2 linked regions of the Lepisosteus oculatus genome follow. The protein of the gene in region 2 binds, or shares a complex with, the protein of the main gene of each other region. Links are inferred from orthologs where the notes say so. Each region holds a gene or a part of one and is shown on either strand. Other genes may lie near its edges.

Evidence for each region. The genes of interacting proteins can lie anywhere in the genome.
Region 1: nup160 (region 2) and nup93 share a complex: the UniProt entries of both Homo sapiens proteins name them as parts of the nuclear pore complex. The link is inferred for Lepisosteus oculatus from reciprocal best matches to the Homo sapiens genes NUP160 and NUP93.

The regions. Positions count from the first base shown.
Region 1 is NC_090715.1:1,145,227-1,151,616, reverse strand, and holds the start of nup93 (nuclear pore complex protein Nup93), read right to left. Parts: upstream 3,736-6,390; 5' UTR 3,584-3,735; intron 2,981-3,583; 5' UTR 2,974-2,980; coding exon 2,795-2,973; intron 2,270-2,794; coding exon 2,152-2,269; intron 1-2,151. UniProt on the Homo sapiens protein: Plays a role in the nuclear pore complex (NPC) assembly and/or maintenance. May anchor nucleoporins, but not NUP153 and TPR, to the NPC. During renal development, regulates podocyte migration and proliferation through SMAD4 signaling.
Region 2 is NC_090716.1:4,054,045-4,060,434, forward strand, and holds the start of nup160 (nuclear pore complex protein Nup160), read right to left. Parts: upstream 3,671-6,390; 5' UTR 3,636-3,670; coding exon 3,539-3,635; intron 2,687-3,538; coding exon 2,578-2,686; intron 1,330-2,577; coding exon 1,119-1,329; intron 428-1,118; coding exon 205-427; intron 1-204. UniProt on the Homo sapiens protein: Functions as a component of the nuclear pore complex (NPC). Involved in poly(A)+ RNA transport.

The sequences.
Region 1 (6,390 bases), on a different chromosome or scaffold from region 2:
GCCACATCTCCGCATCAGCTCGCTGTAACACGCTGGCGTGGGCATGGACGCAGGCGCTACGCTTAATTCAAGCGTCCCCTTCCATCTCGGTTTCGCCCAAGCCTCGCAGCAGAGATCAATAGCCAGTGACCACAAACTGTTGACGCCTCACTTTCAGGTCTAATTTCAAGCCTGATCCTCTCACTTTCTCCTTGAGGAGCAACACAGTTGTTACTCTGCGCTTCCTCTTCTTCCCAGAAAATTGACACGCAAACTGCACCCCTTAGGGCAATTCAAGCACATGTCTCAGGGCCAGTTATTTCTCATATAAATAGAAATGAAGTAACTAAAACACAGCAGAGAAACGTGAAAGGAGTAAAAAAAGTAAATATATTATGATACGCTGTATCATCTATTAACCCTTTTATACAAGGTTGTCCAACCCTAATCCTGGAGAGCCAAAATCCAACAGGTCTTACAGGTCACTGCTAAATCAGCAGCTTGTGAAGGCCTGCAACAGCAGCCTCGATCAGACTGGGGGGTCCACTTGGTCAGTTAAGCCAGCACCACTTAGAGAGCAACCGGCTGCTCACGTTTCCCTTTCCAAACGTTTTCATTTCATTTCAGATGATCTCGCAGCTACTGAATCGAAACAAATCTCCTGCTTCGCTTTGCTTTGCTTTGCTTTGAGCAAACTCTACGTCTAGAGAGGTCCCTTCTTTCAGCGGGACTCTACCAGCACGAGGGCCAGAGGCACCATCTGAAGCATCAGTGCACCACGGACTGCAACACCATGAAACTCAGCTTGTTCTGTTCCATACTGACAGGCAGGACAGCGCAGCTGTGAGAAATCAGTACCACTATGCACAACAAAAACACAAAATCAGACCACTACAATATCAACCCTGTTACAACCGTAGTGTTAAATATCAACACTCCAACAACCAAGGACCCCGAGATGAGCACGAAGGGCCCTTTTCCAGGCTGGTGAAGCCTCATCTCAGGGTCCCACATGCCCCTTTCACACTACTGTGTTCGTCCCGGGTCGAGCACAGACACAGCATCGAGGCGTAACAGGTCCCACCGGACTGCAGGTAGGCTCGGCGGCGATTGGGGTTCGGCTGCAAACTGCCAGCTTGATTTTGGGGTATTGCACAGCAAAAGAAGGGTCACTCAGGACAGGCAGGGGGCAAGCACAAGCAAGTTCTCCGTGACAAAAGACAAAACCTTGTGATGTTACTGCAACACTCCCTTTCCAAACACAAGCTGGGCTGCACTGAGCACAAAGAAGCACACAGAGCCCTGTTGTACCCACACAAGGGCGACAGTGTACGCAACTAAAGCAACAGATCAGAAGCATTGTCAACGCACAGCATTGACTAAACCTGTAGTCAAACCACATGTGTGAATTCAATCGGATAAATCAAACATCCATCTGCAGGAGCTGTGACTAACGAGAAAGACATTTAAGTTAAAATTGTTGCCTTTAAATTGATTTGGAATTTTCGACCATGTTATCATCTATCTGTATCCAGTTTAGGAAGTGATTCATGTCAGATAGTCCATGCCAGCTGCAGGGGGGGTACATCACCTCCTGATGTCACTGCATGTTTGCTGGGCACCAGGCAGGTCCCAGCAGCCCTTGCTGCATCACGTCAGCTAACGCCAGCAGTATTCTGGCAGCCGTCACGACAGCTGTGTGCTTCTGCTGGGGGACTCCCTGTCACAACCCGCTAGTGACACGACCCAGACTGGACTGGCAGCTTCTGAACCGCAGGGCACTGCGCACCGGATCCTCTGCGGGCCTAGCCCAGTGCCAGGAGACACTGAACCTGATCAGTCCGCCCAGGAGCAGTAGCAGAACCTCTGAACACCCCCCAGTGTCCAAAGGTCACAGTTCTGAGACCCGTGGCACCACCCACACCAAGGACACAAACCCAAGAGCATCCAGGTGGAACAGACTAGTTCTCCTGCCTTCCACACCTGGCACCAATTACAGAAGCCATTTCTGGCTTCTAAGTCTAAGGACTTTATGGTACCCAAGAAGAACGGATACAAGGCCTTCTAACAATGGGTCTGCACAGCGGTGCAAAGCAGACAGCAGTCCTCACCCAGTAACACATCACCAGACCCACACAGGACCCAGGATCCCTCTCAGGACCAGCACGGTACCTGTATATCCGTGTCCTTCACGGGCTCCAGGGGCTCAAACGTTGTTGCCGCGCTCAAGCTCTCCAGGCGCTGAGAGATGTGGAAAATGTCCAGTCCTCTGGATCCCAGCAGGATTGAGCTGAAACAGACAGGCCAGTCAGGGCATAGTGTGGACACAAACCAACTCTGAGCTCTCGCTCTCTGTTTGGGTTATGGGTGTAGAACATTAGAGGCAAGAATCAGCTGAAGTGTGTCAGGGAAATGAGCTATACAAAATGTATCTATACTGTTAAGAGTCTTATTTCTGGTTTCTGTCTTTACTAAAGCAAGCAGCCCAATGTTGCACATTATCAGCTTCATCATCACATTTGCAAAGAGAAGATCATTTACATGACATAACCAATAGCACTATGGCAGGAGGGCAGACTCATAACTGGGCAAGTCTTCCTCCTTAAACCCTGAAGACGAGTACCATTTGTAACCACATTTGCCCTCTGGCAGGGAAGCCAGGGCAAGCATGAACAGAAGTGCGAACAGGGCACAGGCATCAGGAGACAGGGACAGTGACAGGTCTGGGGAACAAGACTACTTCAATGCTGCTCTTTTTCAAGACGACAAGCTTGAGGAGCTCAGATTCCCCCCCCCCGAGCGCCGCAGCACTTACGCCTTGACGTCGGCCGTCTCCTGGGAGGCGCGGGTCAGGGTGCGCGACCGGAGCCTCTCGCCGGCCTGCTGGATCTCCTGCAGGTTGCGCTCCACGTGGGGCAGCTCCGAGATGGCCTCCGTCTCGGCCGCCAGCTGCTCCGCCTGCTGCAGCAGCTCTCCGAAGCCCTCCGCGTCCATGGCCGGCCTGCAGGCAGGAGCGGCGGGACGAGCTGAGGGCGGGAGCTCTGGGCCGCATCGCTCTCAGGACGAACACTATCCACTTATTGACACCACAGTCACCTACAGGCATCTCCTCGGTCCAGGGGGGACCGATGAACGTACAATGGCCGATATCACAACGGGCACCGATGGAGCATCAAAATAACAGAACTTCATACACCCGTCTTTAAAAACTGAAAGAAGGGGCCCCTGCAAACCACAATTCAGATCAGCGTGGGAATTTTTTAAAAAATATTAGTATTCAGCGCCCAGATTTTACACAGCAAAAGCGCAGTTGGGTGTCTTGAATGACTGAAACCCGGCCATTCTTCCCAGACTTGTAAGTAAAACAGCGCGTAATCAGAAATCTGAAACTATTTTGTGCAGGGAAAAAAAAGGCTTTTACAATTTATCATGCTGTTTGGAAAACCGTAAATACATAAGCCTAAGATCAATAACGGACAATAATCGCAGTGTAACCACTGTCCAACGTGCGTATTACCAGCTCGGCGCTTAAGATGTCGAGAAAAAACAGGCCGTAGTGATCCTCTGTCAGAACTAGAAACATCATATACGAGGATTTACTCACCTTCTACCTTAGACTTAAGTAAAGTTATTCGATATCGCGTTTAAAAAGATGTATATTTTGACAGCAGCTCGCCTAACTGTATCCCTCCTTCGGCGGAGCACATTCCTCCCGGCACTTCCTCAACCCTCTTCTCATTGGACCCCACTGCTCCCACAGGCCTCAGCGCCTTCAATATAACTTTATTGAATGACAGGGGAGGACAAACACCGCACTTCGCACTTGCGCGTCGTGAGGCCGACGCCATGTTGGCTCTAGAACTGTGAGCCGCAATGGCGATTACGTGCACCAACCCATTAGATAGATACTTTATTAAAATTGCAGAAATTGCAGTGCAACAACAGCCAGGCACACTCAACACAGCACAGTGTAACAAAATGATACAATAATACAACAATACAATAAAGTCAGTGAGAAGTGCAGTAAAAAATGGAGTATGCAGAGTTGCAGTACACAAGATGTATTGCACAGTATAAATATATTGCACAAATCCACCAGCATATATTGCACATCAGTTGTAAACAGAAAAACCAGCTGTAAACAGAGAATTCATGTTTAGTCAACCTTCCCCTGCCCAGACACACAGTGGATGAGTTGTATAGTCTAATGGCAGAAGGCAAGAATGCCCTTCTCTAGCACTCCCTGTCGCACCGCGGGTGGATCAGCCTATTGCTGAACGTGCTCTTCATTCTCACAAGCGTGTCATAGAGGGGATGGGAGGTGTTGTCCATTTTTGGACACCATTCTTCTCCTTGGCTAAGGATCTGCGCCAGTAGGTTGCCGGTTCGTATCCTACGGCTCGCAAAGGAATCCTACTCTGTTGGGCCCCTAAGCAAGGCCCTCAACCCCATCTGCTCCAGGGGTGCCGTATAAATGGCTGACACTGCGCTCTGACCCCCAGCTTCTCTCCCTGTCTGTGTGTCTCATGGAGAGCAGGTTGGGGAATACAAAAAGACAAATTCCTAATACAAGAAATTGTATGTGGCCAATTAAGTGATCTTATCTTATCTTACCTCCAAGGGACCCAATCAGACTCAATGACAGAATTTGCTCTTTTGATGAGGTTGTTCAACCTGTGCAGCCCCTGCACACCGCTGCTTAGACACCTGCACTCGCTACAACTGACTGATAGAACATATGAAGCATCTTACTACACACATTGAAGGACCTGAGCCTCCTCAAGGAGTAGAGTCGGCTCTGACCCTTCATGTAGTTGGCCTCGGTGTTCTTAGACCATTCCAGTCTATCGTCAATGTGCACTCCCAGGTACTTGTATGAGTCCACTATCTCCACACCACTCCCATGGATGCACACAGGAGTAGGTTGGACCCTCTTCCTCCTGAAGTCTATCACTAACTCCTTCGTCTTTGCCACGTTCAATTGCAGGTGGTTCTCCCCACACCACTCCACACAGCTGTCAATCAGTCCTCTGTACTCCTCCTCCAGCCCACCCTCAATACATCCTACAATTGCAGAGTCATCTGAGAGCTTCTGCAGGTGGCATGACTTTGAGTTGTACTTAAAGTCCAAAGCACAGAGGGTGAAGAGGAACGGAGAAAGAACTGTCCCCTGAGGAGCCCCTGTGTTACTCACCACCTGTTCAGACACACAGTTCTGCAGTCTCACAAACTGTGGTCTGCCTGTCAGATAGTCGGTGATCCATGAGATCTTGGAGGTCATTATCGCTAGCAGCTGGATCCTGATCTATATATTCACTCTCGGTTCTTGAGGCACAAGCTTGATCCGGTTTTCATTCCATCTTGGACTATGAATGATTTTATTTCAATTGACATTTTCTTTTGATCTATATGAGTTCTGTTTGCTCCTTGAGGATTATAATGTTGAATAATTATAAGGCATACGTAAGGGAATATTCCTGGGTCACAATGAGCCACAGCCTAATCCAGCAGTCACAGAGAAAACTGGGGCACCTAGAGGAGCCCGCCAGACCACACACAGGCATCTCAGGTCAGAACTGAACTCAGGACACGAGATCTCCTGAGGCAACAACACTGACCAGCATAACGCTGTGCTCTTCAGCAAAAACTTCAGTAGTTCTTTTAAATTACAATTTTAAAGGTCACTACTTCACACCAGAGCCCTATAACTTAACAGTGCTTAAACATGTGATAACTGTTTTATTGGTCATAGTGGAACATCATGATACATTAATGTTGCATTAAGAGGAGATATATACTATACAATTATTTCCTTCTCATAGTATTCAAAATATTTCCTTTTACTAGAAGAGCAAAGCTCTGCAGGTTCCCTGGGCTGTCTGTGGAAGCCAAGTTCAGACTGTAGTTTCACAGAGGAGATCAGGAAACATTCTGTAAAATGCTCAAGGAGCAATGCTCCCTCTCAGCTGTGCGCGTGTGCGCACGCACACAAGTTATGAAATCAACCCACATAGGGAATTGAACTGCGCACAAAAAATTAAATTCCCCCAAAAATATTATAAAACAATTACAGTTGTCAATTGAAAAATGCTGAATTGAACACAGGAGACTGGCTGCGAGAGGCCCAGCTGGGCTGTGTGCTTTGTCATCGCTACTCGATCGTCGATATCCACACTCTTGTAGTCTCGTACCCCTGCTCCTGCTCGCTCCACACTCGTTGAATCGCTGTCCCGGTCTTTTGGATGTCTATGCTTCTATGAGAATGATTTGTAGGTAAATATTTAAGATGCATCTTCCGTAACTACTGCATTGATACAATTTCAGGGAGTTCCCAGTCTAGGTTACATGATTGAACCCTTATTTGCCCAGGTAATTGGGTTAATATGAACTCGTGGTTTTCTGATGTTAATT
Region 2 (6,390 bases):
CCCATGGCCTAGTTGGGCTGAATGGCCTCCTCTCACTTGATGTTCCTTTATGCTACTTTCTAAACTACCTGCCCAGCCACGAAACCTCACCTCGTTCACTCCTCTCGACCACATTCTTCACCGGGACAGGAGCCGCTGCTCGCGGCCTGGTGGGCTCCCGGCGGCAGAGCCGGGGCCAAATTCGTCCTGGCGGGGGACCCTCACCTTGCACATCGTGGGGGGGCAGCCTGATGACCAGGATGCCCCCCGACGCCGACGCCACGGCGAAGTGCGCCTCCCCCTCGCCGTTGACCCAGGCTGCGGAGGCGCCGGAGCTCGCCACCGGCCCGGGAAGGGCCGGGATCACGGAGGTGTTGGCGGGATCTCGCAGGTTCACCTTCCCGACGTCCGTGAATATAGACTGCATCTGGAGTTCGGTGACCAGCTCCTGGGAGATAAAAGACCCACAGAACCTCCATTACTCTACAATACGGAACGCACACAGCAGATGTAAGATGTAAGATATGGTCACTTTATTGGCCATATACAATTTCTTGCATTAGGAACTTGTCTTCCGCATACTCCAACTTGCTCTCCATGAGACACACAGGCACACAGACGGAAAGAGAGAGAAGGTTAGGGTCAGAGCGCAGGGTCAGCCATTTATACGGCGCCCCTGGAGCAGTTGGGGTTCAGGGCCTTGCTCAGGGGCCCAACGGAGTAGGATTCCTCTGCCGGCTGCAGGATTTGAACCGGCAACCTCCCAGCCACAGAGCCACCGCTCTGCCCCGGAGTACACAGTAGGTACACAGCTAAGACGTTAACGGGGAACACCAACATGATTAAGGACTCTGGGCTACCAGGTTTCACCGTGCAAAACATCCCTGGGTGATTTCACCGAAATCTTTTTCCCTGGTTAAGCGTGGGCAAACTCTAGTGTAAAATCCGGTACAAACAAGCAGGCCTGCAAGCAGTCAGTGACCACAAGAACCAGCCCCAATTTCCTGAGTGACCATCGGCCTGCTGTCTGTAATGCAAGCCCCTGCTGCGACTGTAACAAGACAAAAAGAACCTGATATCCTGGTTTTGGGGCGCTGAGAAACCAGGCAGGAGCAATCGGCATCTCCCGGAGAACTTACACTCCTGTACATGCGGGAGGGGTGGGGCAGGACCAGCCGGTGCACGGTCTGGCTGGTGACCACGAGGACGACGACATGGTTGCAGGTCTCCTGGATGTGCACCCCCCCGGGCAGCAGGGCGCAGTGGAGGATCTTCAAGCGCACGGCGTTGTTCAGCAGGTTGGTGTCCAGGGACTGCTCCACCAGCTGGACAGTGTCGCCGGAGGTGCTCCTGGAGGCGGTGAGAAAGTGCGATTTCATGCCCCACACCACCAACACCACAACAACCCACTTTCCTAACTGCTTCTTCCAGATCAGGGGCGCGAGGGAGACGGAGCCTGTCACGGCAAGCAAGGGTGGGGTACATCCTGGGTGGGATGTCAGTCCCTCACAGGGCACAGGGCACATACACACCAGGGCCAGTTTACCCAAAAGCCAATTAACCCACCAGCATGTCTTGGGACTGTGGGAGGAAACCAGAGCATGTGGGGGAAACCAACATAAACATAGGGAGAACATACAAACTCCACACGGACAGGAACTGAACCAAGGACCTCCGAGATGCTTGCCCCCCCGTATTGACTACATAATGCTTGCATAATGCATAGAATCTTCTGATGCTTTGGGCCCTACCTGGAGGGCAGTATAAAAAAACCCTGCAGTCTTTAGATAAGAGAAATTAACAACAAACTGAGGAAAAGCAATTCTAGCAGATCAATGAAGGCGTTCATTTACCAAAGTCGACTGCATGCTTTTATTGATAATTCCTGCCATTTGCATAGCGTTGTTCATCCCAGGGGCTGCAAGAACACTCCACATGAGGGAGGAGACCTACTCCACCCCACTGCTCAGCAGGAGATTAATTCAACGGAGCTTTTGGGGGGGTCAGACTGTTTGAGCCCAGGGAGCAATTTACCCTGAATTAAGCCCTGACATACGAGCAGCTGGGAGATACAGTATGAACCGCTCCACTCCGCCTGGGGTGGGAAACGATCAGGACGCACTACAAACCAGCATCGCATTGTTAGTGCCACGAAGTAAACATAATTTCCCGAGACACCACAGCAAGTAGACATTATCACCTACAGATTTGCAATGAGAAAACACCCAGAAAACTGTCCCAGAAAACTGCAAGAAACACCAATATTGCAAATCAAAAAGGGCCCTCATTATGCTAGCATTATGCACCTATATAGCGCTTTTCTGGACACTCCACACAAAGCTTTTTACAGGTAATGGGGATCCCCTACACCCCCACCAGTGTGCAGCCCCACCTGGATGATGCGCCAGCAGCCATAGTGTGCCAGAACGCTCACCACACACCAGCTCTCAGTGGGGAGGAGATGAAGCCAGTTTACAGATGAATCAGTACTTCGGTTTTACATCTCAGCTGAAGGACGGCGCCTTTTTACAGTATAGTATCCCCGTTACTATGCTAGTATGACAAGTGTTAGGTAAAAGAAAAAGATTTGCAGCTCACCACTGTATGAACCTGTTGCTTGTAACAGACAGGAGCTTATCACATTCCTCATAATGGAATCCACCAGCACTGTCCGGATATTTGACTCCTCCGGGAAGAGCATTCACCCCTTGCAATCAGAGAAAAAGACAAAGGGTTGTATCACAGCGTGCGAGCGAAAAGGGAGTTTTCTTCGTAAGGCTTTAGACTCTGCAAAGGCTTTCAACTAAAAAACAAACCCGCCCTCTCCAGTCCAGCAATACAGTCCAGTGAGTGACTGGTGGCAACACTCATATTTTTATCTTCCTGTGTAAATTCCAAGAGAAAGCGGGGCGCCGGACGCTGCATGCTTGTATCAGGCTCGATATATCTAGAGACGCCCAGGAAAAGCAGGGTGCTGAAAAGACTTGCTAGCACACATCTCGCAGTGTTGGGGCTTACCGTCCTGCTGGATTCACCGCGGATAATGGGATTCGAAAGAATTGTACTAATCGAGTTTCCACTGCGCGATACTTAAGATTACAGTTAGGTCATTATAAGCATATAGAGTCCGAGACTAACTCCATGATTAAGATGTAAATCACTGTAAAGCGAAATTAAAGCCACCTTAAAATCAAAGCATTTATGTTGTGTAGGAAATGACCGCAACTTTACAAATAACGAATTCATAATCCATGCCTCTGCTCCTCTTCAAAAAGCCAAGTTTGCAGAACACTTTAGAAAAAACCCTACCTCGACTACTTCAAGATCTACTGGAGGGCACCAATCAAGGTGTGATACTTGGGTTTTCCAGACCCGCGGGGCGGCTTGGTACCTTAATTGATTTACTTGCTAGTACAGTGTCAAATAGGCGCTCTACCGAAGGCATGGCTAACCCGCTGCATGGTGGGCAGTCACGACCTCGTCTTCCGGGGATCGTACTATCTTACCCAACAAAGTACAGTCCCCCGTCCCCCGTGCGTGATCCTTTAAGGGCCTTTACCTGGATCAACCGTTATATCTCGGAATTTCTGGAGGGTTTCTCTCTCGAAACCACATATTTCTATGTAGCTCCGCTCCAGTGCCGCCGCGGCCGCCATCTTGACCCCCGGTGCACCCTGGGAAAGGCTAAGTGGGCGGTCCCACAACAGACCCGCCACGCGCTCTTTCAAACTCTTAAAGGCGCAGTACCGCCTGCCCGTGCCAAGGGCATGATCAATAATCAATGGCTTAAACGTACATCCAGTGCAGCATAATCACTGAAAATGCTCTGCAATTAACAAAACAATGCACAGGGTTAAACAGCATGAGCTGTCATAGGAACAGAGTAAATTTCGATACAAGGAGGTTGTTTGACGTCGTTCGACTCGTTTTTACAGCGCAGAACGTTTCTCCATGGTAATTGATTTTTTTTAAAAGCACTGATAATCTCCGATTTTTCTTTTAGAAACTAAATCGTTGTAAACGTCTCTGCCGAGGGGACGGCAATCTTTTTTTTCTAAAGAGAAATTCAAATGTAAAAAAAAAACCACTCGCTTACACAATGTATTACATAAGCTCGCTCAAATCAAGTAAGGGTGCCCCTTGCTGAGTGTGCTTTATACTGCTATAAACGCACTGACACAGGAGGGGCATTTTCTGAGATTTGTTGTACAAAGCAAATATCAAAATGATTTAATACCGCTGAACAAGGTCCCAGAATTAGACCTATACTTACGCACAACTTAGGCTAACGAGCACTAAGCCGCCCACGGTATTACTATTATACTTGAATGCTTTTTTTCGGCAACGCGACTTAAATATTTGCGCCCCTTTCTCATGTAGCTGAGCGCTCGACCCCTCTGTCGCGGGGCTGCAGAAAGTGGACACGACGCCCAGCGGAACACCCAGCCCCGGCGCACGTGGGACTCGAACCCGCACCCCGGCACTGCGGACAGACACTTCACTGTCCCCCGCTGCGGAAAGCTGTCTTTGGCTTCTCCCACAGAAGTACAAAACACACGAGTCACATAAAATCACATTGAAATCACGGCAACAGTAAGTGATACATAAGTAACTGGATAATTAGAGGTGGGGCTACATTGACAGACCGCCAATGAGTAGTTTTAATGCAGAGGGGACAAAGGACGTCTTATAAATGTTTTTATTTGAATTGTGGTCCCTATGCCGTCTCCCTGATGGGAACATTATGAACTGAGAATGGAGCAGGTATGTGGAGGCAGCTGTGATGTTCCTCGCCATTCTGAGAACTGTATCACCATATAAATCACAGAGTTGGGGCTGCTGTTTCCCAATTATGTTTCCTGCCATTTTCACAATCCCGGGCAGTTTGGTTTTGCTTTCCGACCCCAGATGTAAATACCATAAGGTCACGTTAAATGCCGGTAGCGTCAACACCGTTCTGGCGGATCTGATGCAGCGCCGATCAAGTCGCGTCGCTGCCTAATCAAAGACCGAATTCACCCCTGGCGCAAAGCTGTTAACGTTGTGCAACAGCACCTTCCTCTTAATGGGGGGCAAATCCGAGAGGCAGGACCCGATCGAGCGCAAGGCGAACCGACAGGGCTGCAGTCCGACGGTTGCGAAAACGGACGCGTTTCCTGACCGTTTCTCAACTCCAGGCGATGTGGAAAAAAAAAACGACTATGACCCCAAGCACAGATCTCCTGCTCAACCTTAAACACCAAAACAAAAAAGTCCATCGTAAAAACACCAGCAACAGGGGATACTATATCAGCGTTGATTAAAAAAAAATCAGCACATTCGACTATATAAAACGAATGTAACGCCAGGAGAAATGAATGTAGTGGGGGGATCCAGCAGGTGGCGCAGTCTACTCGGGACCAGAATATTCCAACCAATGTTACCGTATGGTGACTGTGTACACTATGCTGCAGGAGGTATAAGATAAGATAAGATCATCTTCTTGCTGGGTATCGCCCTCTGCCTGGGATTATAAACCCAGGAATGCAAAGATCCCAGGGCACTTTTCGACAGAAACTCCGGATCTCAACGATCTGAAGTTTACTTTGAATGTAACCGGTATAAAGCAACTAACTGGTCGGTCTTCAGGCGGGGAGAGCACTTCAGTACTGGATGAAGTGGCTCCTCTCCTGTAGGTAAAGTGCTTTTGAGAGCCTTTGATATGAAAGCAAAAGGCAAAAGGCACTGGAGCGAAGGAAATGGATTGTTACTTTGCCAGCATGACCAGAGAAGCTCCTGTCACCCAGAGTTTATAATCTGGCACAGAACAAGCACGAGCCCTGTGTCAGAAGAGCAGACAGCGCAAACTGGATTCAGTTGTAACCTGCAGCATTCAGATCCTTTTTTTAAGATCAGTATGGAAAATTGCATCTTTTGAGGTTTTCGTTGATTGCCCTGCGCATAATAACACTTTTGTTGTGCATTTCATTCTACAAGCTCTTAAAGCATATTGTGGTTTGTGCGCACGTGTGCTTTCTTATTTGTTGTGATGCAAATAAAAAACCCGTTTAAGTCTTGGTCATTTTATTTTCTTGGTTACCTTCTTTGTTTTTCAGGAAGATGCATTATGTCTCTGTGTCCAGCCAATGTGTTAGAAATGTACTCCCCTCCACACAACCTTTGCTCAGCTGTGCTTGACAGTCTAGATACTTTACTCCATATTTCTGGGGCACCGTCCTAAAACACAACGGGGACTCCTCTTTGACTCTTTGCTTCCTACATAACCGTGAAGGTAATTCATAAACAACTAGAGACGAGCTTGCATACTCTGTTGCTTTTGGTCAACTTCTCAAAAACTAATGCCCAGGGATCTGCTATTATACTGTATAATACTGCATAGGAGTGCCCTGCAGTACCACTAGTAACAAAATA